7 linked regions of the Nothobranchius furzeri genome follow. The protein of the gene in region 6 interacts with the protein of the main gene of each other region in a pairwise test. Links are inferred from orthologs where the notes say so. Each region holds a gene or a part of one and is shown on either strand. Other genes may lie near its edges.

Region 1 (3,500 bases), on a different chromosome or scaffold from region 6:
CTCTTCTCGTTGTGCAGCGTTTTCTGCCACACTTTTTCCTTCTCACAGACTTCCCACTGAGGTGCCTTGATACAGCACACTGGGAACAGCCTATCGTTCAGAAATGTCTTTCTGTGTCTTAAGATCTTGCTTGAGGGTGTCAATGATGGCCTTCTGGACAGCAGTCAGGTTGGCAGTCTTACCCATGATTGCGTTTTTGAGTAATGAACCAGGCTGGGAGTTTTAAAAAGCCTCAGGAATCTTTTGGAGGTGTTTAGAGTTAATTAGCTGATTCAGATGATTAGGTTAATAGCTCATTTAGAGAACCTTTTCATGATAGGCTAATTTTTTGAGATAGGAATTTTGGGTTTTCATGAGCTGTATGCCAAAATCATCAATATTAGAAACAATAAACGGCTTGAACTACTTCAGTTGTGTGTAATGAATCTAATATATATGAAAGTCTAATGTTTATCAGTACATTACAGAAAATAATGAACTTCATCACAATATGTAATTTTTTTTGAGAAGGACCTGCATAACTGGGAATGTCACCTTAGATTAGGACTTGTGCTCCATCTTGTGGTGAGGTGACAGAGAGTATTGCAAGAGCACATTCTTGTTGCGTTGGAGGGAAGAGAGTTTGAATTCAGGGTTAAGCCGTTTGCTGGAAGCATAGCAAACTGATCATTTAAGTTATCACTACCTGTACACTTACTCTTTAACCTCAGTGGGTTCAATGACTAGCTGGTCCTGGAATGGCTCTAAGCTCACCAGTTTCCCCACATAAACCTGAAACGGTGTGAGCCGCATGGAAAATCAGTACAGATCTGATCAGATTCAAACCCCTTTTAACTAAACTACTTAATGTGCACTTGGTACGACTTCTGAAAAAACCTATTAGGTGTTAAAATGGCCGCTGAGCAAGGCAGGAACAACACAGCTGGCTGCAGGAGCGGGCCAGATCCACATCTCTTCAGCACCATTTTTATTTCACTGTAACGAGGCTTGAGGAGGATGTTGTTGGATCAGACAGTGATGGTCTGCTGCACAGGTGTCTCGGGGTGAAGCCTAGTTTATACGTCTCCATCAGCAAGTCTGCACTCACACACATACTGACTCTCTGTTGGTGTGTCAGTGAAACAATTCTCCACCAGGACAGCAGGGGGCGTAGTGCTTTTCTGGGGTATCATGCCATCAATGCAGGCACTTCTCTAGTGTGTTTACTATTGTATTCAAATATTTCAGAGACAAATTTGTCCCTTGTTCTCCTCCACCTTTTTATGTAGTCACCACCTCCAAACCCACATTTCTGGTAATTTACCGACAAGAGTAAAAAGTCTGCTGCATATCTTTGTACTCCTTCAGTCGCGGGTACATTAACATTTACATCGTCAAGCTGCACAAATGATCTCTAAGGTCACCTGAGCATCCAGAGGCTCTAAACATAACACAGTGATCTTCAGATATGACCATCTTTGTAACAGATGACTAAAGAGTAACACACTCAGGTGCTGCATCGGAGGTCCACGTGTGTTCTACAGAAACATTAGAAAAATGAAGTGCATATAAAATAGTCTTAGATAACTGAACTAGCCACCCAGGAACAAGTTAACATCACAGCATCATACCTTTTGTAGAGACTAAACGTGGAGGCTCTTCTACATCCAGTGTTTGCACCAGGACTTCTGGAGAAATCTTAGTGCCAGCAAAGATCCCAGAGGAGAGGGAGCTCCAAACCTCAATCTGAAACATTAGAGTTCAACAAAATAGACCACCTTACCACCATGCACATGTTGAACATTACACCATCAACACAAGCTGCCGTTTATCTAGACATGTTCAACGTATCTTGCTAGCACACCTCTGAATGACTGTCAATGAAAACAAAACCATTAGCTGAGGTGATTCAGCTGGAGCAACGGCAGTTTTGAGTGCTTTAGTCAGTCTGAATTTATGAAACGCTTCGTTTCAGTGAATCCCTGCCCATGCCCGCTCTGACAAAACATGCCTACAACGGCGTCTTAGACGAGTCAGGATCTCAGTTTGCCATGTGGCGACATGGGTTCAACTCCCGGTGGTGTCTGCAGTAATTTGTTTAGCCAGCTGTAGAAGATTTCATGTTTTATATATTTTAGTTTTATTGATAATTTTCTACTAAATATTTTGTGTCTCTAAAGATCTTTAAATTCAGTCATTTCCGAGCAGCATTTTAGTTGATTTATTCTTCTCACCTCACATGGAGTCACACTGGCTAAGTAAAAAAAACAAACACATTAGTTATATTTTACAGTTTATGAATAAAGGATTGAAAACATCATACTGGCAAGTGTAGCTAAAGAAGAAGAAATAGAGTTACTGCTCAGACCAGGATGTGAACCTGTGAAAAACTACATGCCAGCCCTGCATTCTAACCTCTAGCCTACCAAGTCCGTTACCACAGCAGTTGCCTAAGCCACATGTCCTGTGGTGGCCAGAGGAGACAGCTTTTAGACCAGACACTAGCTTCCGGAAGAGGAACAGGGTCTGATGACAAGAAATGTTTCCATTGAGGAGTTACAAGATTTTCAAAGTAAAACTCTAACTTTGCAGCTGAAACAGGAAAATGCATGAATTCAGCCAAAAATGGGTTTGGGGGGACTTTCCCGAGAGGAAACAACAATATCACATAGTAAAAAGCTCCCAAACATGGATTTTCTATGATGGCCCCTTTAAATAAAAATTGTTGCAGAGGTTCTAAACCATCGGTCAAACATACTCATGGGTACCTTATAGGGTTGTCACGGTGTGAAAATTTAACCTCACGGTTATTGTGACCAAAATTATCACGGTTTTCGGTATTATCGCGGTATTTATTTTAAACGTGTTACATTTTCAGAAAACTAAATAAACCCTGTATATCAGGAAAATATTGTCCTCAGTTTGTGTCTAAATTTAGCAAAAATTTGTTACTTTGTAATTATGTTGTTTATTTGTTTACATTTTTCCCCTTTAGTCTTTAAAATACCAATATTTGCCCATAACTTCTTATTTTTTGTTGGTTTGATGTTATCATTTTAAATACATTAAATCAGATGATACTCAGTACTCAAGTAGCCTTCTAATCAGATACTTTTTTACCCTTACTTGAGTAATAAACCCTGTATCAGGAAAATGTTGTCCTCGGTTTGTGTCCTTCCAGTGAGCTTTGCAGATTTGGGAAAATGTCATCAGGCAGTAATCATTGTTAAATTCATAATTATTCTCGGAGAGAGACCAACTCTTATCTGCCCCTGGGAGTTCCGTAATGCATAGCGTCACTTCAATATGGGGGTGTCTGCGACACGGTTTATATGCAGGTAGCGGCACTGCGGCTGCTTTATATAGCGACTCGTTGCATTCTCCCTCAACCCACGTATTTTAGCTAAAACGCTAACGTTAGCTTTGGTTGTAAACAACAAAGTGCGCATGTGCCGCCGGCAACTTCAGCAGATGACACAGTGGCTGGTAAGTAGGGATGGGTACCTTTGACATTTGAATCG
Region 2 (3,338 bases), on a different chromosome or scaffold from region 6:
GGGCTGCTCGATTATGGCAAAAACAATAATCACGATTATGGTGACTGAAATTGAGATCTCGATTATTTAGGACGATTTTTCAATTTATGTTGATTTTATTTGTTTTATTCAGTCATAAAATTGCTCAGGGCACAATCAGGACAAAAAGAAATAAGAAACAAGATGATCACTAAAATAACTCCTGATTCCCAGTATAAAAAGACCAATATGCTCATAGTCTACGACCCAAGGGCTATAGACCTTGGTTTAACTCATTTAAGTCTAACCAGTACAGACCCAAATACCAATATCTTGCAAATACTGACAGCAAGAATTATACAGTGGCATTTATAACAAATAAATGCAAATAAATTGATGTTCACAAAATGTTGCATAACATTTATTTAGACATGTCAAGGTGCTGTAGGAGAGTGCACTAGCACCGTGTCCTCAGAGAGATTAGTTATTATTTATCAGCGTGAGGAACTTATTTCTACCTTATTTATAAACTATTTATTTACAAGTCGTCCATCAGTTAATGTAATAATTGTCCCAATCACAGCTGCACCCCCACCCCCCAACCCGGTCTCAGCAATCAGGGCAAGCTGCACGTGTGTTTAGCACGCCGCACATTTAGCCGTTTTTAGTGGCTCAGGAGTCCGCAGGTGCGGTGTGTGTGTCACTCACTCTGGTTACTCCAACAGAGCCGGCTCTGAGAGCGATTTCTTTAGCGACCGACACATCACTACATCATTCCCTTTCCTAATGTCCTGAAGAACGGTCCGGAGCGCAGGCGGAGTGTTTAGCTAACCTGCAAGAAATGTCAACAACAGTTATCCAGAAAGTAGCTAAGGGTTACCAGAGATGTTTGTGAGGTGATCGCTAGGTACTTTTAAGATTTAAAAAGTCAAGACGGGGGTCTGAAAAGCTGTTGGAAATAGCGTCAGAGTCGCCAAGTTGGCAACACTGTGGGAGGAGCGCTTCATTTGCAACTCAGGGCAGCGCAAGTGGGAGGAGCAAATAATCGGCTTGTTTTGTTTTTATAATCGTTCAAAACTCAGATCGTAATCGTGATTAAAATTCGATTAATTGAGCAGCCCTAACTGACACCTTTGCCTCATTCTTCACTGACAAAGTGGCAGCTATAAGCAGTTTACTCAACTGGCCCCTCCAGAGCATTCGCTACCACAAACTCCTTCTAGCCCAACCATCTCAAGCCCTACTGCTTCATTTTCCTTTTTCCCCTCTCACTGAGGACTGTGTGTCCAAGCTTCTCACGTGCAGCCGCCCTACTACATGCCCCCTCTACCCCATTCCGACTAAGCTGCTCTAAGCTATTGCTCCTACAGTAGCCGCAGCAGTCACACATGTGATCAACGCTTCACTGACATCCGATACATTTCCCACCTCTCCCAAGCATGCTCAGGTTAAACCGCTGCTAAAAAACCATCTCTTCCTCCAAATCATGTGGAGAACTACCGACCTATCTCTCTCCTCCCTTTTCTGTCCAAAATCATGGAAAGGGTGGCTTTCAAGCAGATCACAGAATGCCTCTCACAAAACCGTCTGCTTGACCCTTACCAATCTGGGTTCAGAAAGGGCCACTCCACTAAAACTGCTCTGTTAGCAGTGACAGAATCCTTTAAAGAAGCTAGAGCGACAGGCAAATCCTCAGTGCTTATCCTGCTCGACTTATCAGCTGCATTTGCCACTCTCTACCATGGGCATCACAGAGAAAGCACACGCCTGGTTTGAATCATACCTCACAGGACGATCATTCAGTGTTTCTTGGCTTGGACAGTCCTCTACCGTGCACCATCTTGCCACAGGAGTCCCCCAGGGCTCTGTACTAGGACCTCTTCTCTTTACCATATACACCACCTCACTGGGTGAGATCATTCGATCACATGGCTTCTCCTACCACTGCTATGCAGACGACACCCAGCTCTGTCAGTCATTTCCACCGGACGACCACACTGTCTCTGCACGAATATCAAACTGTCTCTCTGACATATCAAAATGGATTAAATCCTACTATCTCCAACTCAACCTCTCTAAAACTGATCTACTTGTCATCCCAGCAAAACCATCCATTCAGCACAATATCTCAATCCAAAATGACTTCCTATCTCTGGCTCCTTCAAAGGCAGTTCGAAATCTGGGTGTTGTGATTGATGAACACCTGACCTTTAAAGATCATGTTGCCTCTGTTGCCCGTTCATGCCGCTTTGCGCTGTATAACATACGAAAGATCAGGCCATACCTAACACAACATGCCACCCAGCTCCTGGTGCAATTTACTGTCATCTCCCGCCTCGATTACTGCAACGCCCTTCTAACTGGTCTTCCAGCCTGTACGGTGAGACCTCTTCAAATGGTCCAGAACGCAGCGGCGCGTCTGGTCTTCAATCAGCCAAAAAGAGCACACGTCACCCCTCTGTTCATTGAGCTCCACTGGCTACCGCTAGCAGCACGCATCAAATTCAAATTGCTAACACTAGCATACAAAGTCCGAGATGGTACAGCTCCCATCTACCTGAATCCTCTTGCAAAGGCTTACGTCTCGGCCCGGCTGCTCCGGTCATCACAGGATCGTCGGCTAGCAGTGCCTCCACCACGCTCAGGACAATCCAGACTCTTCTCATGCATCGTTCCACAAATGTGGAATGACCTACCAAGCACTACCAGAACAGGAGCTTCCTTTTCAATTTTCAAGAAACTCCTGAAGACCCTGCTCTTCAGAGAGCATCTTCTTAACTAGCACCCTCCCTGCACCCGTCCCCTCTCTACCATCCACTCCTTTGTTCCCTCCTCTCCATGACTGATGTCAAGTTGTTGTTGTTATTGTTGTTGTTAGCCTCAAGGGCAACATGCCGATTATCACTTGTAAGTCGCTTTGGACAAAAGCGTCTGCTAATACATAAACATAAACATATCTCCATAAACACAGTAGCAAAAGAAAAAAGAAGGAACAGCCTCATGTGGAGGTCTGTTCGGTTCCTAAAGAGCTTCACACCTCGGTGGTAGAGCGCGGAGAGGAAACCCTGGCGGTCGCTCCCCTGAAACAGCGCTCGTTCAATCTCCATCTCACGGCGCGACAGTAGGCAGCTGGCGGCGAAGCGCTGAGGGCGGGACAGCAGTTCCGCCCTGGCGTCCATCTTGTCTCTGATGACTTGGAGACGCTGCTGCCTGGCATCTGGAGCTGGACACACACCGCGGGACTGAGCAGGCAAAATGGAGGGGTTTGTTTAGCATGCATCACTTAAGAGTTTCTGTAACTCACATTTTTGTATAATTTTGTACAGAAATGTATATTTTCTGGAAGTTTTACCTTCTCTGCTGCCTCTGAAGCGTCTCTG
Region 3 (3,500 bases), on a different chromosome or scaffold from region 6:
AGAGAGCTGCTACTGGAGGAGCAGGTGCAGAGAACCTCATAAACAAACATTAATTTTCAGACCTATATTTTCCCTTACTGAACAATAAGTGTAATTCTGCCGATTATCTACTTTATGTTATTTGTATTACATTCATTTGAACGTTAAACATCAAAAACCAGCTAAGGAAAAATATGGATGTATTTTGATTTAGCAGTTAAAAATGACAGCAGTCCAATTACATTAAACAAATCTCTAAAGTCTGCTCAGCAGCTTAACTCTAATTTGTTTGATTGAAACTTTTTTTTTTTTTTGAAGCACATGAATATTTGTGTGGGAGTGTGTGGAGGAACCCCAGCAATACGAAATGCCCTCATGGAGTCTCCGACTCCACAAGGAGCTAAAGCTGGTCGGGGTCAAAGCGAGGTGCAGAGTGGAGTCGCTCTAAGCTCAACGTAAACATCAACAAGCTGCAACATCTGGGCCACAGTTCTACACACATCCATGCAAAACGAATAAATATGTTCGAACAGAAAAGCCTGGACACGGTTGAGACGTTAATAATAGAAGGTCCGATTGTGGCAGTCAAATTATTCTTCCACTGGGGGAGGATATGATCAACGGAGCCAGATTTAACAGATTTACCTTCCCCACACTGGATTCAAAACAAACAGAAAATGTTGACCTCGTGCTGCAACTAGGATAAAAAATAAAGGATTGAGTCAGATTTCTGTCCGGATCAAGCTCTCGTTTATAAGTCATGATGCAGTTGCTTTCATCATTCTAACAAAGATCAACAGGATGCATAAAGCAAAGGGACAAGCCGCTCAAATCTGTGGTACGAATTCAGAGATTAACCGGGTTATTTTGGGATGAAACCATGCGTTTCAGCACCGTCGCTAAATCCATGATGCATAATAAAGACTCCATTTAGGTCTCCGACATTATACATCCTTCTCAGGAAATTATATGCAGATGATCCATTTTGAGCCCTGTTTGAATGCATCACTGCTCTGAATGGCTAAACAAGTTCAGGGACCAATTTATGCACTACACCCCTTAATTAATACACAGAGTGCTGACTTACATAAACATGGAGTATTTAGGGAATGATGAATTGGGCTTTTCCAAGGTTTTATTCTCAAGCATGCTGGAATTCTTTCCAATATTTGCTCAAACAGGTATTGCCTTAGCATTCACAAACCTTGCTGTTCAGTTAGATTTAAAGGTGCGTTATATCATGGCGTGACATCAGATTGACTTACATTAATTAAAATAATTTGAAAAACGTACATTTTAGTGACAAAGTGTTGGAACTAACGGTGTTATTTCTAATCTCAACATCAGATCTCTCTGTAATTCCTTTTCTGTATAGCAATAATGTATTTTATCCTAGCACTAATTGCATATACATTACAAATGAAGACATCAACAGCTATGTTGATATAAAAGTTATAATTGAGGATATCAATAACAACAACTGTACTAGTAGGAATTAAGTTTGAGATGTCCCAGAATCCCTAAAAACCTAAAGGTGGCCTTTTAAACATTTATTAGGCAGACTGGATACGTTTAATTCCATTGTTCCGAGCAGAAATTACATTCCAGATATCCATATGAACTGTAGAACATGAAAGTAACATCAGTTATTTTAATAATTACTTTTGCAATGTGGTAACTCAGTTACTAACTCAATCACTTCTTGGAAAAGTCATTTGTAAATATAACTAATTACTTTTATAACATAAGATGCCAAACAGGCTAAATGTGTGTTTTTCCATTTCTCCTTATTGCCCATTTTTACCACTACGTGTTCACTACATTTTACTACTTTGAAGCGAGTATTTAGGTGAAAATCAGCATGAGATAACTTGTGTATGAGCAGAGTGCATTTGACTTGCTTTTGAGAAGATTATGACCGTCTGATGCCTGATTAGCTCTGAAGGGTTTAAATTCTCCTGAGACGCTGCTGCACAGGACAAACGTAAGAGTGCATTCATAATGAAGATTGTTAAATTTTCATTTTTACGAAACACTTTTTGTTCTTCTTGCGGCGTGTGTGGGCAGAAAGTTACCCAGAACCTTCTCAGAGGGATAACGCTAATTACGGGCCTCGCATCAGTTGGTTTGATGTTGCTTGATCTCACTTAGAGGCTTATGCTCAGTATTAGCAATCAATAGCTTAAACTAGCCCAACTGCAGGAAAGAGTTTAACTACTGAACCAATAAATATGATATGGCCTTCAACATAATAATTTTAATGGGCTCTTACAGGTTACATTATTTATTTAGCTGAATCTCAGCTGAAATGTATAACTAATGAGCAAAAATTAAGATTCCTACAGTTTAAAGAACCACTGTTAGCAGATATGTGAGCATATTCTTCTGCATGACATCATCAGTCCCATAATTCTGTGGAGGGCCTTTGCTTCAATAGACGAGTCATCATGAACTATTGCCTTTAGGTTTCAGTCAGACTGAACTTTAACTTTTGCTTTTTGCTGCTGCGTCTGTTATGAGGGACATTCTTGTGCCACGACTCAGATCTGACCAGGCTCTTGGACAGATGGTCTCATATTTGATTCTACGATAGTCTGGTTAGTTCTGGAAAGTTTATGGTTGATTTGCTGAGGTGTACGAATTCTGAGGCAAAAAAAAAAAAAAACCCAAGTCATCAGTTGCTACCACCATGCTTGAAAGTTTTAGAGCTCTCATTCCCTAATGTTTATATGAAACTGCTGTGGTGTCTACTATGAATGAATACCTTGAGTACCTTTCAGTGGAAAAAGAGCTCTGGCGCTCCTGTTTTAGAAAGAAGAAATTAACCGCAGGACTGGGGATTGGGAAAACAGCAGGATTATGAGTCTTACTCATTAATACTCATTTATTTCTACAAATTAAACTCTAACTGCTAATGCTAGTGGTTAGCTTCTACTAGCTCTCTCCTGGCTGCTACATCAGCACAGCCATCCCCGGTCTGAGAGCCAAAGTTCCAAAGACAGTTTTCAGAGTGACCAATCCTATTTGAAAAAGAAGGAGTACTGCACGGTTCCTCAGTGAATGAGATACTTAAATAATCTGTTGATATGCCGTCAATCACCAGCACTGTTTGCATGTCTGTCTGTACAGTAAACATTTACACAAAATCCTAAAGACACCAGATTTTACATTCTAATGTTTATATGAAGCAATAATGAGGGGTTTGAACTTTAAAACTCATTTGAACAGCTGCTTACCAGTGCGGCTCCCTGACAGTCCTGCTGGTTGACCTCTTCTCCTCGTCTCAGCAGTTCCTGAATGTCCTCTATCATCCTCCTCTCTGTGGACGCTCGCGTCTCATTGATCATCTCCTGGGTGATGCCTGTCAAGAGAGCCAGCCGAACAGATGTTAATCAACCAGTACAGATTTTTTAGGGGGTGGGGTCAGGTTTATGTACAACTGTAGCCGACAGGATCAGAAAGACATCTTGGGTTTAATCCATCGTCCTGCTGCCTCACAGCTCTAACCCACAGTCATATTC
Region 4 (4,019 bases), on a different chromosome or scaffold from region 6:
TAAACCAGAAATATACTCGTTTAAACCTTAAAACTGCAGAATCAAATTTTGCAACAACTGAATTGGATTTACTGATTATAACTGGCTTTATTCTGGACCTGATATATGAATGAGTTCATTTTATTAGTGCTTTGAGATTTTCAGCGTGAACTGGTGCTTTAAAAACAATGTGAGTTTAACTAAATCGTTTTATTGCAACTCATGAATACACGTATATAAAATTGGTATTGCTGACAACAACCAAACATAAACACAACATATTTAAAATTTATGGCAGCCATGAAACTGTAATAATTGTAATAAGAAACACTCTGTTGTTAAATTCAAATAAACAACTGGATTGTTTTGTGTTTTAACCCCATAACTTCATTTTAATTTTTTTTACAAATTTGCACCTCCAAAAAAAAAAGCTAATAAAATGCGATTTTTCTATTTCCTCCTTGATGATAAAAAAAGATCTGAAATAGAAATGCAGCAAAATTTCTGCTCGACAACAACAAAACATAATTTCGTGCATCCTGAGGAGTCTTTATTGCAGGATTGTTGCTTTACGTTGCGTTTGTCTACAGAGTAACGACTAAGCCGTTACTCCAAGGGATCTCTGAACCTTGTTTTCTCCCGTTGTCAACGCCTTTCTCGCACAAACAGTTCTAGCATGATTTCATGCTGTAAGCAGATATCGGTGCAGTAGGTGGGACATTGGCGGTCACAGGAGGCTCAGCCCAAGGGAAACCCATCACCTGAGATGTTCTGAGCCCCGGAGATCAGTCAAGTCAGCCGAGTGAGCCGACCTGCGATAAACAAGGCCAGCGGACATTACAAAGAGTATTTTTTATTTGTTTTTAAGTTTCGTGCACAGGCAGATCAGCGCAAAAGGTCTAATTTTAGAAAACATAGATATGCTGCAATTCTTCTACTCTGATATTACCTGGGGACTAATGTGATTCACATGTGCACACGATATTGCACACAAACACATGCTCATACAACACAGGCCCCGCTAAAACACACACACACAAACACACACACACACACACACACACACACACACACACACACTTGAGTGTATCTTTGTATAAACACTAGAGAGAGTGGATGAAAGAGAGTGTCTGCCATGGATGCAGACAAGTTGCATTTGTCTTTTTCATGCTACGTCTCCGTGTGTGTGTGTGTGTGTGTGTGTGTGTGTGTGTGCTTTGGGGGGTGGGGTGGGGGGGTAGTGCGTTAGTCCCTCTTGGATGAGCACACACGGCTCAGGATGCGGCTGGGAGCATGAGTTCTGACCGTGAGGAGTATGACATGCTCTGTCAGAAAGCTGTAACCCTCCTTATTGACCTCTGCCTGCTCAACAGTACCGTGCTGGATCAGGACGCCTGTCAGGATTTCCTGTTGGCACTGACCAGTCAGGACTCGGACCACAAAGACGCAGGTAGGCGAGGATCTACAGCGCAGAGTGTACAAGGCAGCATGTGCTCCGTAAGGCGACATCTGCTCCCTGGAGGATGGCTATATAATTAATTTGTTGAATAATTTTTTTCTGTCCTGTTTATGTTTTTACTGCTATTGTCCTTATGTGTGAACTGTGGTGGAGGGTTCAGACAGAGTTTCCTGTTCCAAGCCATCAGGACACCCATGAGTTTTCAAAGTTATTTCGTCTCCTCAGTTTGAGCTTCTTTATCCTCAATGGATCAAATGTCAGCTGATGTCTGAAAAACAAGACGGAATTAGAATTTAATTTTGTGCGTTGGTAGCCAGCAAATGAACACGTGCAGCGGTTGTACAAAAGCAGAAGCATTCAGGGCTAATCTGCTAAGTTTCAGCACCCTGAATGAGATGTCTGACTTATTCACGAGGGCTGATTTACTCATCTGTTGCAGCCTCGTGGATCTGTTGCTCTGGCACATGTGAGCTCTTTAGGTACATTTCAACTGCAGCCTGTCAAGCAAAGCCTGAGTATTTTTACCATGTGTGTCGATAATTAAATTTACACCCTAAAAGGATTTATTTGTCTGTCTGTGTGTAAAATAGAAAGAATCAGGATGTACCAATCAAGACTCTTTGGCCCAATATCAATCCAAGTCATTCAGGATTATCTACTTGCATTAAATCTGAATCCAAGTCTTTAACTATATTGGTTTTTATTTATTTTACAATAAAAACATTAATGAATGAATAATTTTTGAATAATCTAAGAGCATTCTTAACAGACTTATTCTTGACAACATTGGTACCTTCCTGAGTGAACTATTATACTCAGGGCTGCTGCTGGTCCAGGCTAAAGAGGTGGTGGTGGTGGTGGGGGGTGGGGGGGGGGTGGGGGGGCTTTGCAAATTTCCTTGTTTGTGACATCACAAACGGGGCTTTTTGAAATGGCTCGTCTTAGGATGTAATTCCTGAAGCAAACACTGGCAGAAAACAGATGGACTTTTTGTTAGGTGTGGTGTGTTTATAGAGGCAGTGGAAACCCACCTTGCAGTGCAATAGGTGAGTTCTGCATAATACTATGTCCCCTTTAAAATTAATGCATGTGAGTTTTTATGGAGGATCACTGAGTAGGGAGACAGTATATTGACACAGGTTACAGGGTTTCTCATTATTCCCATTCACGGGTGTCTTAATGTCACAATATTTTATAATAATGTTTTAAAGAACAGCAGTTGCTTTGCCTGGGCTGCCACATTACCGTGGTGGAGGGGTTTGAGTGTCTCAATGATCCAAGGAGCTAAGTTGTCTGAGGCTTTATGCCTCTGGTAGGGTCACCCATGGCAAACAGGTCCTAGGTGAGGGATCAGACAAAGAGCAGCCCGAAGACCTCTTATGATGAATTATATAAATGGAAACCGTGTTCCCTCGCCCAGACGTGGGTCACTGGGGCCCCCCTCTGGAGCCAGGCCTGGAGGTGGGGCACTTTGGCGAGCGCCTGGTGGCCGGGCTTAGCCCAAAGAGGAAACGTGTGTCCCCCTTCCCATGGGCTCACCACTCGTGGGAGGGGCCAAAGGGGTCGGGTGCATTGTGTGACGAGTGGTTGTTGAGGGCGGGGACCTTGGCGGTCTGATCCTTGGCTACAGAAGCTGGCTCTTGGCACATGGAATGCCACCTCTCTGGTGGGGAGGGAGCCTGAGTTGGTGTGAGGTTGAGAGGTTCCGACTAGATATAGTCGGACTCACCTCAACGCATGGCTCTGGAACCAGTTTCCTTGAGAGGGGTTGGACTTTCTACCACTCTGGAGTTGCTCCCACTGACAGGCGCCGAGCAGGGGTGGGCATACTAGTTGCCCCCCATCTTGGTGCCTGTACGTTGGGGTTTACCCCAGTGAATGAGAGGGTAGCTTCCCTCCGCCTACGTGCGGGGGGATGGGTTCTGACTGTGGTCTGTACTTATGCACCAAACTACAGTTCAGACTACCCACCCTTTTTGGAGGCCTTGGAGGGGGTACTGGAGAGTGCTCCTTCCGGTGACTCCCTTGTTCTGCTGGGGGACTTTAACGCTCACGTGGGCAATGACAGCAAGACCTGGAGAGGTGTGGTTGGGAGGAATGCCCCCCGATCTGAATTCGAGTGGTGTTTTGTTATTGGACTTCTGTGCCAGTCATGGATTGTCCATAATGAACACCATGTTCAGACATAAAGGTGTCCATATGTGCTCTTGGCACCAGGATACCTTAGGCCGCAGCTCAATGATCGACTTTGTTGTTGTTTCATCTGACCTGCGGCCGCATGTCTTGGACACTCGGGTGAAGAGAGGGGTGGAGCTGTCAACTGACCACTACCTGGTGGTGACTTGGCTCAGATGGTGGGGGAGGATGCCAGTCAAACCAGGCAGGCCCAAACGTATCGCGAGGGTCTGCTGAGAACGTCTGGCAGAGTCTCCTGTCAGAAGATGCTTCAATTCCCACCTCCGACAGAACTTCCAAAATGTTCCGGGGGAGGAGGGGGGCATTGAGTCTGAATGTACCCTGTTCTGTGCCTCCATTGTTGAGGTGGCCGACCGGAGCTGTGGTTGCAGGATCATCGGTGCCT
Region 5 (4,278 bases), on a different chromosome or scaffold from region 6:
GGAGCAGCCAGGGCTGTGAGGGGACATGGTTTTATTTTAACCACTGAGACTGAGGACGCAAAAAATCTGTGCTCTTGCTGCTTGTGTGAATAAACCACCACCAAACGCAATTTTAGCATGGACATTGCTTGATGTGAAATCTTTTTACCCGTGCGTAAAGCCTAAACCTTGACGTAGCCCAGTGGCCATTTGAAAGTATTTGATTATTTTTTGTTTAAGTTTTATGGACAAATAGCCGCTACATTTAACGTCTACAATAATTCACAATTTAATAATAGGATGGTGTTAAAGGAGTGAGTCATCGCTGAGTAAAAGACATCCAAGATAGCCGGCACTGCTAATCGACAGGAATGCATCGCCGTGCTCACCCGCGTCCGGCAGGGAGGAAGAGCGGTGAATATAATGTAGTGACCGGCAGAGCTGGGTAGAGTACTCAGATTACACTCTGGTAAAATTTGAAAATGCAGATCAATTGTCCTGTTATGTGAAGAACAGCTCACGAAATCCAGTTTGGAAACAAAGGTTTGCAGAAGTCTCATGTTTTAAGTGAAGCTAAATCATAAACAAGGCTAAAAATGTACCCTTAACTTATCCAAGCAAGACAGATTAACACTTTCAGATTTGGAACTGTAACAAAAACTAGTAGAGAATACAAACGGGCTTAAACCGGCTGCACTCTTTTGATTTTCACCCAGAAACAAAACTTTTGGTCACGTCCGTGGTCCTTTAGCCTGACAGTCTCACCTAAAGACAAATGTTCTCATGCTGAAGATGTTTATGTCACAATTAACACAACAAGATGACCTAGCCGGTCAGTGAAAGCACACAGTGCTTACCTGAGGAGGAGTGGGCGCTGTGGTGCTGGTTTCTGCTGCACTCTGCTGTAGAGTCCTGGAGACCGGCTGTAGTGCTGCTGCAGCAGAAGGCCGGGCGGCAGCCATGTTGGTGTTGGGACGGGTGGGATTCACAGGGACGGGAGGACGGGGTGCTGTGTAGGCATCGTTTTTAACCACCTTGGTGATCGGGGCTGTCATGGAGAATGTTGAACCTACTGTACCAGACTGTATGAAATAAACATAAACAATTACTGTAGAAAACAAACAAGACTTTGGCTGACGATCGAACTCAGCTCACCCGTGACTGCAGCATTGCGTTGGCGGCTGTGATCTTTATTTGTTTGCTAGGGATGTCATCAAATTCATTTGGGGCAGGCTGGGAAAACAAAGCAATCTATTAAGTTACATCCCTAAATAGATTTCAGCAGATATGGGATATTGTTCTATTAGAGCACAAAAAGAATCGCACCACTTGAGTAGCTGCACGTATTCCGGCCAAAGCTCCCACGGGACGCTGCTGCAAATAGATACACTACATATTAAAAAGCCTATTCTGCTTTCAAGGCTCATAAACACCATATATGTGCAGGTGGCATAAATGATCCAAATGAGTTTTTCCATCCTCACCTGTATAGTCTTTGTTATTTGTAAAGGTGGGCCAGCAGTTGCTTGTGTTTGTGTTCCTCCAATGCTCCTTTTGAGGCTCAGTCTATCACGGGCATCCATCACTCTTATGTTGTTGTTCAGCTGTGATGCTGTGCTGCCCCTCAAACTCAGTCCTTGTACAGTAGGAGTAAACTGCCTCGTGTTTGCACCGCTCATGTTGTTGTTGGTGTTAATCTGTATGTGTGGCACAAGTGTGTTGCCCTGTAGCTGCTGCGTTATGGCTGCCTTTAGTGTGGGCTGCACAGAAACACTGCGCTGAACCTGCCCCTGTTTCCGTGAGTTGATCATCTGGCGAGCATCTTGCACTGTTCCGGCTCCTCCCCTGCCACGGATTTTGAACCGAGCATCTTTCTGAACCAGTTTTTCTCTGGCATCTTTGACTTGAAAACCTGAGATGCGATAATTAGTTCAACAGCAAAATGCTCACTGGGCACTGCTTTTTCAGCACTGAAGACTCAACCTTACCTGTTCCCCCTCCAAGACGTCTAACATCACTCAGGCCAATTTTCTGCCTGGCATCAAAACTTTTCAAATCACCTCCTCCACCTCGTCCAAATACGGGCCTGAGGGAAAAATCAAACTTCAAATTAAACCACAAACGCATTCTCAAGTTGTGGAATTTTTAGTAGAATAGACTTTTTATCGTAAGTTAAATATGTGAAGGTAAATATATTTACGGGTCGCCTAACTGCTATTTCGTGAAGCTATAAAACGATACAATTAAATTATCCAGGGGATTTCAAGCACGTCTTTTAGCAACAGCGGTCTTAGCCAAGCACGGCTAAATCCCGAATAAATATTAGCTAAAGAACTAGCTAATATGAACCAGTGAAGCTACAAAACAAATAACCCGCAAACGCCCATTATAGCTATAGTTAAATGCGTTTAAACAAGCTAAATAATTACACTACAGGTTAATTTATTTTAATATAACGTGATTTATAACTTGAGGCCTGTGGCTAACAGCTTTGCTTTAGCCTGGGACGGGATTGTAGCTAACCATAACAGGCTATCGTTAGCATGCGGTCCCAAAAAGGCGAACGGGAGCGCGTTATGCTTTTAAAACACCAACGCGCTTGTCTTAAGAAGCATTTTTCATTTTAATTGTAATAAAATTACCGTTTGACTGAAATCTTGCGGTCAATACCGCGCTGTCGTATCACTTCATCCAAAGAAACGTCTGCCATTTTCTCTCAAACTTTTTCAACTGCGCCTGCGTATATTACCGCCGCCTAGGGAAGATACCTAAACAGCAGTTTTAGGCCAAATAAGAGATCGATTGTGCATTTGAGGATGATTCGATTTGCTTTGATTTGATTCCCCCCATTTTAAATCAACAACATGAAAGAGGTAAACCATGTTTTCTTCATAACAAATTAAACAGAGAAGAAACCAAATCAACTTGTGAACAATCTGTGATCATTTACCCTTGACTGAAAGCAAAGGCTCGAGCTCGCCAAATACCCATGAGCCTTTGCGTCATTTCCACCACAAATGTGAAATGTTTTGCCCAAATCCTGATGTTCACGTTAACGTTAAAACATATTTTTACGTAATATTACTATTTAAAAAGCAATATATTCGTTTAAGTCCACATGGTTAACTGTTGACAGCTTTCACAGGTGACACCATAATAGAGAATGCCATGTGGTTGTGACTAGTGGTATGATCGGAACTCACTTGGTTATGCCTTAAACTGATGAGTAAGGAAAATAACGATGCGGGGTGACGCCCGTATCCTCGTTCAAACTACGAGAAGAATTTTTGAACGGGTACAGGTCTGCCTGCTGTGGTGACTCGCCTACTTTGCGAGATGCCTCGTGGGACTAGGACCTTGCCCGAACCTTATCATGTAAAAAATAAAAACCATTCTAAATCTTTAGACGTTAATTGGCTCAGTCATGTTCAAATTCTGCTGATACTTCATTTAGTTTAAAGAATTTACATTAGCTTGTTGATGTCACTCTAGATAGGTATTATTATCGTAGTATTTTGGAAGCTGTGATGTAAACAAACTCAAACTCCCAGAATGCATTTGGGCAGAGTTAGCTAGGGAGCTGTTTCTTCTCAGTCTCTCAGTCGGTGTCCCTCGCACGGGAGAAATGGCTGCGGCTCTGTCCCGTGCCCTCAAACTGCCCGGTAAGATGCGCCACACCGGTTCCTCCTCCTCAGACAAACAGAACAAATCGAACCTGTCATTTTTAAACCATCGACGCTTTTCGGTTATCTTTTTTTCAGGTGTCGGCATGGCGCATGCGACCCATTCATTTCATTCATTATGTCAGCCGTTTCAGATTAACGTGTGTTAAAGTGTTATATAATCTGGATATTAAAATGCGTGAATGCAACCAGCGGGTTTTAATGCCAGCTAATGTTTATCCAACGCAGATGATGATGATGCGCATAAAAACCGCATTCCATTTTTTTCCCTGCTAGACCTGTCCGCTCAGAAATAGTCATTTATTTACGAAGGAAAAAGGTTTTAAAAATAAATTCACCGAGGTTTTTGGGATATGGCTGCTATCTACAACAGTATTATTATTATTATTATTATTATTATGTGGTTACAACCAGGGGGGCTGCCAGAGATTTTGGGCCCCATGAAAAAATATCAAGTTGGGCCCCCTGGACTGATTTAATAGTACTTTAATTAATTATTTATGTAGATTAAGTTTTTACAAATCAAGTTTTTTAGTGCATATAGTTTTTTTTTAATTGTGACTCTGCCCAAGGACTAACAACATATTTTCTGCAAAGTAGAGCGCATGTTAACACA
Region 6 (3,500 bases):
ATGAGTTTCATAGTTAATACGTGATTATTATCAAATTAATTGCAAATTATAAATGTAGGTAACATGATAAAGTTCATGCTTCTCATGTTTTAGAAATTTATTTTACTTTTCTTTTTGTTTTATGTTCCTTTATTATCGTTTACAGCATATTATACAACAAGCATCTGTAGAAATGTATGTATCATTCCCCATTTTAGTTTTTCATATATTTTCATCGATCAAGTGTGGGATGAAAAATGCAAAGAGAGGCAAAAGAAAGGAAAACATTCAATTTGAGACCAGATTTCTTTGAAAATGTTATGAAAATCTCTTGTTACACTAATTACATAACTGAATTTACTGTATTGTATATTGCTACAAGTAAATATTGGGATATTTAAGCGTGTTGATAATTAATCGATATTTAAAAGCCGTGAATCAATTTTTTACGTAGAAGTTTCCAAGCAAACATTTACTATATTTTTTGTGTGGTGCAAATCAAACTCCGACAGCTAGGTGGCAGCAGTTTTTACCGCCTGCATTCTGACCAAGCCCCCACAATGCGTCTCAAAAATTGAGCCCAACCCGGAAGTACCAAAAATTGCAGTTCCACCCTCATCCGCTGGGGGCTGGTGTCAGAAGCGAGCAAATCCTCATTGACTCCCATGTTAAAAATACCAATTTCATAGCAGAAATAAACATGTTTACAGCCTGGTACCAAAACATGTTTTAGGTTTAATAGATCTAGTTTACAATCATGACAACTCTGAGGGGGGTGAATTTTTTAGTCACTCTTCTGTTTAAGTTTATTAAATGACCTAAAATTCTGAATAATTAATGAGCATCAGACCCACGTGACCGCAGAGCTAGCTCTGGGGAAAAGCCTCAGTAGAGCCTCGGCCTGGCCTGGAAACTGTTCCGGGATTTTTAGTCTTTGTGTTTGTGTATTCTTTTTTGGATATTATTTGTGCAATTGTTGGACAAAATGACTTGCTGTGGCATTAATTGCACTAATAGAGCGTCCAAGGAGTCAGCACTTCATTTTTTTCTGTAAGTAAAATTATATTTATGTATTTTAGGTCACTGCCGAGCTGAGCTTAGATTTTAACATGTACTGTTTAACCATGAAATTTAAATGTAATAGGGTAAAACCCAGTGCATTTAACATAATGTTGCACTTTAGAAAATGGGTGGAAATATAACATGTTGGTGGAGCTGGGTTCCGACTATCAGCTTGTGGAGCTCTCGGGAGACCGATGTTTTCCACCCGGTTCTCCCCTCCCCGCAGCTCGGCGCATCTCTGTCTGATCGCGGCTTCTGTCTGCTGTGCGGGCTGCCGGCTTTCAGCAGCTCTCGGGAGATCTCTGTGTTCCACCCGGTTTTACCCAGCGGTCAGCCCAGCGTATCTCTGACTCAGAAGCTCTGGTGTTGTGCACAGTTAACTCCGGTTGTAGCTAGGTTGCTACCTCTGTTAGCTTAGCTCCCACCTCCGCGTTAGCTTCAGGTTAGCTTGTAGCTAGTTCGACCGGGTGTCGTCAGTTGATCCCAGCCTTACAGCCACACCCTCAGCTCCACCTCTCTTCCCTTTTGTGGAATTGTCTGGGCTTGACGGAACCTGTGACACGGTCAAAATGGCGGTGGTGGCCACCTCCCATTTTGGCTCAAAAACGTATTATTGGTGCCTATGGAAACCCATTGTCCAATATTTATATGTCGATGATTCTGACGCAGCAACACAATCTGGCACTAAAGCCTGAGTCATGCTTCTCCGTCAGCTCCAAAAGGGAGAGACACGCACGGGCGGAGACATTTGACCTCATACTTCTCCGTCTCCTGGGGAGTGTTGGAAAGCAATTCCCCGCCAGGACAACAGAGGGTGTAGCGCTGTTCTGTGGTATCCTGTCATGTATCCGGTCCAAGATAGTGTGTTTATATTGTTTTTTGGAGACTTTTTAACACAGACAAATTTGTCTCTCATTCTCCTCCACCTTTTCATGGGCTCTCCACCTCTAAACCCACGTTTCCTGTCATTTCCGTCCACAAAAAAATGCTTGCTGCATATCTTTTTACTCCTCCAGTCACGGGGGAATTAAACGTTCATGTTTTTGGAGTTTTTTCACGAGGTATTCTTAAAGCTTCTTCGTGTCTGCCGCTAGTTATCCTCGGCTCTCTTTATGTTTTTTTTTGAGGGAGCAATGGCGGCGGTGTAGACGACAGCGGTACCCTGACCAATCACAAGCTTGCATTCTCCGTCTTGACGGATGGATGCTTAGAAAAGAGAGCTCGACTCCATCCGTCCTAGCAGGGACTCTCCAGCAGGCCCGCAAGGACAGATAATGGCGTTGCGTGTCTCCGCACTGACGCAGAAGCATGAATCAGGCTTAACACTGGCTGTGTCTTGGAAGCGTCTGGCCTGAGTTTTCTAATCAAACAGATGCTCCTGTACACACAGATACTGCTTCACGATAACACGTTAACTTTTTAAGTGCTAATTATAATTTTATTATATTTACAGTAAAACATTTTCCAACCAGGTAAAAACACCTGCATCCACACGAGTGACTATACAACCTTCATCTCTTCCTTGTCCTGGGCCAGCATGCTGATGTACTGCTCCTTCTCTTGGTGCTTCTGCTTCATGATGGCTCGCTGACTCTGGTACAGGGCGATGTATTCCCCTAAAGGAGAAACAGGCACACAGTAATGGTGAATATACACCAAATCGAAATTTAAAAGGGATTTTCAGCATGACGCTAATGTCCAGCCTGACCTATAGTGTCGGTCTCTCCAGACAGCTGAATGCAGCGGTGCTCTAGTTCTTCAACCCGCTCCTTCAGATCAGCTTTCTCCTGCATCAGGGAGGTGAAACGCTGCTGAAGCTTCTCCATTGCAGCTTGTAGAGCCTGATGTACCTCCACTGGGACGCCTCCATCTGGAGGGTTTAACACGGAATCACAGAACGTTAAAAGCGAGTCACATTAATTTACTCGTCAGAGTGGTGCAGTCCTGGTGAAATCCAATACAAACCACTTTAATTGTGTCTAACCTGGGAGTTCATGGCCGTGTTCACAATGGGTGTGCTGGTCCTGATTCTGGTCCTGACCATTTTCATGAACAGGTCTGTAGTTTAGATGTTGCTGCTCAAGCCGGAGTGCCACAGCGGCTTGTTGCCGGGCCGCCAAGTGGAGCCTGCGCTCTTCCTTCAGTAACTGCTTGACCTCATCTCGTTCAGCTTCTAGCTGTGCCAGAGCACCACGAATAAAGTCCTCCTGTTGAGGGATCAGAGTGTCAGCAGAGGTGTTGAGGTGGAGCTTTGATGTTCAAGGTTTGGAAAAGAGATTCATTTTAACTCATTCACTGCCATTGACGACAAAAGTCATCATTTGCATTTTTTTACGGTGTGGGCATCGGAACGAGCCCCCGCACTGTGAGAACAAACATCTCAGCTCCAAAGCCGATCTTCATCCGCATACGTCACACGTCACGTGATCAGGAAGCAGAGAATCCATTGTGTTAGGAGA
Region 7 (4,166 bases), on a different chromosome or scaffold from region 6:
CTTAGGCGTAGTACTGAAGGTTTGCCTTCTTCTTAGCCTGGACCTCCAGGATTCCCTCCATGTAATCCTCGTGGTTCAGCTCTGTGGCTCCACGACGCAGTGCGATCATACCAGCCTCCACACACACAGCTTTGCACTGGGCGCCATTGAAGTCATCAGTGCAACGAGCCAGCTCCTCGTAGTTGACATCTGGACTTACATTCATCTTGCGGGAGTGAATCTGCATGATACGAGCTCTTGCTTCCTCATTAGGCATGGGGAACTCAATCTTCCTGTCCAGACGTCCTGAACGAAGCAGTGCCGGGTCCAAGATGTCCACTCTGTTGGTGGCAGCAATGACCTGAAAAACAGGAACGTCATTACTTGGGTTAAATTCTGGATTAATAAACTTTGAAACTGTTAAGGTAGTAGTCATGTTTACCTTGACTTGCATGTTGGGCTGAAATCCATCCAGCTGGTTGAGCAGCTCCAGCATGGTCCTCTGCACCTCTCTGTCTCCTGCCTTCTCACTATCAAACCTCTTTGTGCCAATAGCATCCAGCTCATCGATGAAAATGATGGATGGGGCTTTCTCCTTGGCCAAAGCAAAGGCATCCCTCACCAGCTTGGCTCCATCACCGATGAACATCTGGACCAGCTGTGGACCTGCCAGCTTCAGGAAAGTGGCCTTGGTTTGAGCGGCGCAGGCCCTGGCCAGGAGGGTCTTTCCTGTGCCAGGTGGTCCATACATCAGGACTCCCTTGGGTGGCTGAATTCCCAGGTTTTCAAATTTCTCCTTGTGATTCATGGGAAGGACAATAGCTTCCACAAGCTCCTGAATCTGCTTATCGAGCCCCCCAATGTCACTGTACTGCTCTGTGGGGCGCTCATCCACCTCCATGGCCTTGACTCTGGAATCATACTCGGTGGGAAGGGTCTCCAGGATCAGGTAGGAGTCTTTGTTGACTCCTACCAGGTCTCCGGGCTTCAGCTTCTCGGCATCTACCAGACCGATCACCGGCAGGAAGTAGGTCTGTCGCGTCGAGGTTTTAATGACGGCGCACTTTCCTTTTCTCTGGGAGTCCAGATCCACGTTAGCTCCGTCTTCCTCCTGGTCGTTGGGGTCCACATCCAGCAGCTCGATCACATTAGAAACTAAGTAAGGCAGCGTTTTGTTCACCTTAATCTTCTCCGTGTTTTCTTTGATTTTATCCTTCATGGCCTGTAGCTCGTGCGTCACCCGGAGCACCTCGCTCTTCATAATCTTTATCTCACTGTCGAGGAGACGAGTCCGCTGAACTATCTCCTCCGTGGACATTTTTAACACTTCTTCACCGATACCATCCTCCACTTCGTCCCAAACTGATTTGTCACTCAGCGACGCCATCTTTGCTGTGCCTGGTGTGTGAACTGTGACGCAGCGGAAGTTAAAGCTTCCTGTTCCGGTTAGCGCCGATAAGCAGACTGGGGGTGTCACGGAGCAGTAGCTAAGTTTGTGGACATTGTTAAATTTTAAAGGTATGTGTGTAAGTTGACTTAATATTTTGTTGTTTTCAGTCACAAACTTCAAAATTATTCGCAACTTTTTGACATTGGGAATTCGTTGTCACTAAACGTTGCTCCTTGTTGGCTAATATTAGCTTTGCGGCTAACTTCTGCTAGCAAGTGTGTTTAAACGTTTCATTTTGAAAGTTGTCAAGCAGTTCTTCTGAAATTGCAACGTTAATGCAGGACATGCTCTTTGGCATAAATGCACACTTGTTTAACAGGTTGTCTCAAGAATTGTGAATCATAAGTAGTTACACCTCCGCAGCCGCTGCAGAAAATGCTTTAAAACTGATTTGAGAGTTTGTGTTTGTAAACCGTGTTTCTGTTGATGTTTACTTGCGCAGGATAAGAAAACTAGGAGCAAGGAGCTACGAGAACGTGTTTCTCTGGAGTCCCATCCTATTTTTGTGGCATTTTTCCTGCTCAGGCCCTAGAAACGGTCAGATTGAAAGTTCTGACTGCTCTTGTCCGGCAGTGTTGAACCTTTAGGAGCTGAAGAGATGGATCAAAACAACAGTTTACCAGCCTTTCAAGGGCTGCCATCCCCTCAGGTAATTTAAATTAGAGAAACACATTTTTTTCTTTCATATTTTAATTCTTTTAGTTCTGTGTTACTTTCTTACATTTTTCCAGTTCATTTAATATTTTTACTCAAGTTTTCAAGATGTAAAAATGTATATTTTTATACATTTGATACAACTTTTACATCTCTTTTCTTCATCCTCTGTCTTTGCCTGTTAAAAAAAAAGCATTGGGACATATTTAAACACCTTGCTGTCATCAATTTGTTGAGTTACATTTACCGGAATTAATCTTGGTAACATTCCTTATTGCATGTCTGTTTAGCTGATATTTTATCCCAACAATAGTTTCATTTAAAACATTTATTTTCTAAGAGACAGACTGAATTTCACTGGCCTCAGTTTGTTTGTTGTGAACAAACACTCAGAAATCCACACACACCTGGTTTAGAAGCTTATGAACTTGACATGCTCAGCTCACTTTTCTTTTTACTGTGCAGCATCAGTCCTCTAGTTAAAAAGTTACTTTAGGCTTGGTACATTTAGTTATTCCTCAGCACAACAGACAGGCATTACATCAGCCACCATTATTGCTGGTGAGAGGGTTTTATTTTTTTGAAAATGAAATTTGAAGAAAAAGAGAAACTGTTACTGAAAGTCTTTTCTTGCCAGGATTTATGTGATCTTAATTGTTTATGCTTGTTTTTTGGGGGACTGGTGTGTCCTTGTGCAGGGTGCCATGACCCCCATGCCTATGTTTAGCCCCATGATGCCGTATGGGTCAGGTCTGACGCCCCAGCCTGTACAAAACACAAACAGTATATCTATACTCGAGGAACAGCAAAGGCAACAACAGCAGCAACAAGCAGCAGCAGCACAGCAGGCCAGCACAGGTACCAGACCAAATGTTGTTGGTGTTCCTTTTTATTTATTCTGAGAAATTATTCTTAAAACGCATTGTGTAATTTAATCTTTACTTCAGTATACAAGGACAAATGAAATATTTTGCTTTGCAGGTCTTCCTGGGACCTTGGGGCAGACTCCTCAGCTGTTTCATTCCCAGACAGTAGCAGGCTCAACCACAACCGCCCTCCCAGGAAACACACCGCTGCAGAACGCTCCGCTGACCCCCATGACACCCGTCACACCATCCACACCTGCTTCAGAAAGCTCTGGCATTGTACCACAGCTACAGTATGTCCCATATAAATTCTGTTGGAGTATTAGCAGCTAACGCTAAATACAAATGTGCAATCTCTGTTACATAAGTCTATGATCCTTATCCCAACCCTTCTTTTTATTAGCTTTTTTTTAAATTTTGCTCTTAGAAACATTGTGTCGACTGTTAATCTGGGCTGTAAACTGGATCTGAAGACCATTGCTTTGAGAGCCAGGAATGCAGAGTACAACCCAAAGGTAAGACTAAAATATCAACCTTTTGCTGCTCTGCTGTCTTTTGTAGCAGCTCGTAGGAGAGCTGTTTTTATTTACCGACTTTTTTCTCATCTGAAGAGTCAGATTTGCCCATTGTAATATTTCACACAGATCCAAATGAATGTCTGTACACCTAAATTCGACAATTTAGTCTAATCTGTAATAAGTTATTCCTGCTTTAATGTTTTTAGCGTTTTGCTGCCGTCATAATGAGAATACGAGAACCCAGAACCACGGCTCTCATCTTCAGCTCCGGAAAGATGGTCTGCACTGGAGCCAAAAGGTCTGAGTCAAATAATGTTTTTTGTGCTTCCTCATGCATGCAGATTTCCTTTACACTTGTGTTTTATCTTCTGGCTTTCTTTCTGGGCTAATTCTTACTCATGCTTTTTAGTGAGGAGCAGTCAAGACTAGCGGCTAGGAAATATGCACGTGTGGTCCAGAAGCTCGGGTTTCCCGCAAAGTTCTTGGACTTCAAGATCCAGAACATGGTGGGCAGTTGTGATGTGAAGTTTCCCATTCGGTTGGAGGGTTTAGTCCTCACACATCAACAGTTTAGCAGGTACGTGTTTTATTTATTAATCTTTCATAATCTTTGTGGTAAATATGTGATTGTGTTGCGGTTATTAAACTCTGAACACCGGTAAAACCCGGCAGAATCCCCCTGCAACGATGTAATTAACG

Evidence for each region.
Region 1: the proteins of golga2 (region 6) and slx9 interact in binary tests that used the Homo sapiens proteins (3 or more experiments, as listed by UniProt). The two-hybrid records come from large-scale screens. The link is inferred for Nothobranchius furzeri from reciprocal best matches to the Homo sapiens genes GOLGA2 and SLX9.
Region 2: the proteins of golga2 (region 6) and rbm41 interact in binary tests that used the Homo sapiens proteins (3 or more experiments, as listed by UniProt). The two-hybrid records come from large-scale screens. The link is inferred for Nothobranchius furzeri from reciprocal best matches to the Homo sapiens genes GOLGA2 and RBM41.
Region 3: the proteins of golga2 (region 6) and ppp1r16b interact in binary tests that used the Homo sapiens proteins (3 or more experiments, as listed by UniProt). The two-hybrid records come from large-scale screens. The link is inferred for Nothobranchius furzeri from reciprocal best matches to the Homo sapiens genes GOLGA2 and PPP1R16B.
Region 4: the proteins of golga2 (region 6) and syt6a interact in binary tests that used the Homo sapiens proteins (3 or more experiments, as listed by UniProt). The two-hybrid records come from large-scale screens. The link is inferred for Nothobranchius furzeri from reciprocal best matches to the Homo sapiens genes GOLGA2 and SYT6.
Region 5: the proteins of golga2 (region 6) and poldip3 interact in a two-hybrid assay, tested with the Homo sapiens proteins (2 studies listed by BioGRID and IntAct). The two-hybrid records come from large-scale screens. The link is inferred for Nothobranchius furzeri from reciprocal best matches to the Homo sapiens genes GOLGA2 and POLDIP3.
Region 7: the proteins of golga2 (region 6) and tbp interact in a two-hybrid assay, tested with the Homo sapiens proteins (2 studies listed by BioGRID). The two-hybrid records come from large-scale screens. The link is inferred for Nothobranchius furzeri from reciprocal best matches to the Homo sapiens genes GOLGA2 and TBP.

The regions. Positions count from the first base shown.
Region 1 is NC_091743.1:79,934,187-79,937,686, forward strand, and holds part of slx9 (ribosome biogenesis protein SLX9 homolog), read right to left. Parts: intron 1,726-3,500; coding exon 1,611-1,725; intron 1-1,610. UniProt on the Homo sapiens protein: May be involved in ribosome biogenesis.
Region 2 is NC_091750.1:69,606,606-69,609,943, forward strand, and holds part of rbm41 (RNA-binding protein 41), read right to left. Parts: coding exon 3,311-3,338; intron 3,201-3,310; coding exon 2,996-3,200; intron 1-2,995. UniProt on the Homo sapiens protein: May bind RNA.
Region 3 is NC_091743.1:61,208,466-61,211,965, reverse strand, and holds part of ppp1r16b (protein phosphatase 1 regulatory inhibitor subunit 16B), read right to left. Parts: intron 3,341-3,500; coding exon 3,216-3,340; intron 1-3,215. UniProt on the Homo sapiens protein: Regulator of protein phosphatase 1 (PP1) that acts as a positive regulator of pulmonary endothelial cell (EC) barrier function. Involved in the regulation of the PI3K/AKT signaling pathway, angiogenesis and endothelial cell proliferation.
Region 4 is NC_091755.1:39,508,325-39,512,343, reverse strand, and holds the start of syt6a (synaptotagmin-6), read left to right. Parts: upstream 1-1,219; 5' UTR 1,220-1,272; coding exon 1,273-1,429; intron 1,430-4,019.
Region 5 is NC_091752.1:66,994,372-66,998,649, forward strand, and holds the start of poldip3 (polymerase delta-interacting protein 3), read right to left. Parts: upstream 2,801-4,278; 5' UTR 2,690-2,800; coding exon 2,622-2,689; intron 2,066-2,621; coding exon 1,968-2,065; intron 1,892-1,967; coding exon 1,464-1,891; intron 1,354-1,463; coding exon 1,306-1,353; intron 1,213-1,305; coding exon 1,135-1,212; intron 1,062-1,134; coding exon 837-1,061; intron 1-836. Other genes in the region: protein FAM234B, read left to right, coding at 3,605-3,641. UniProt on the Homo sapiens protein: Is involved in regulation of translation. Is preferentially associated with CBC-bound spliced mRNA-protein complexes during the pioneer round of mRNA translation. Contributes to enhanced translational efficiency of spliced over nonspliced mRNAs.
Region 6 is NC_091746.1:54,869,445-54,872,944, forward strand, and holds part of golga2 (golgin subfamily A member 2), read right to left. Parts: intron 3,249-3,500; coding exon 3,026-3,248; intron 2,912-3,025; coding exon 2,750-2,911; intron 2,658-2,749; coding exon 2,551-2,657; intron 1-2,550. UniProt on the Homo sapiens protein: Peripheral membrane component of the cis-Golgi stack that acts as a membrane skeleton that maintains the structure of the Golgi apparatus, and as a vesicle thether that facilitates vesicle fusion to the Golgi membrane.
Region 7 is NC_091749.1:35,000,480-35,004,645, forward strand, and holds the start of tbp (TATA-box-binding protein), read left to right. Parts: upstream 1-1,366; 5' UTR 1,367-1,497; intron 1,498-1,871; 5' UTR 1,872-2,027; coding exon 2,028-2,078; intron 2,079-2,781; coding exon 2,782-2,941; intron 2,942-3,064; coding exon 3,065-3,242; intron 3,243-3,376; coding exon 3,377-3,464; intron 3,465-3,673; coding exon 3,674-3,765; intron 3,766-3,876; coding exon 3,877-4,044; intron 4,045-4,166. Other genes in the region: psmc3 (26S proteasome regulatory subunit 6A), read right to left, coding at 2-340, 422-1,366. UniProt on the Homo sapiens protein: The TFIID basal transcription factor complex plays a major role in the initiation of RNA polymerase II (Pol II)-dependent transcription.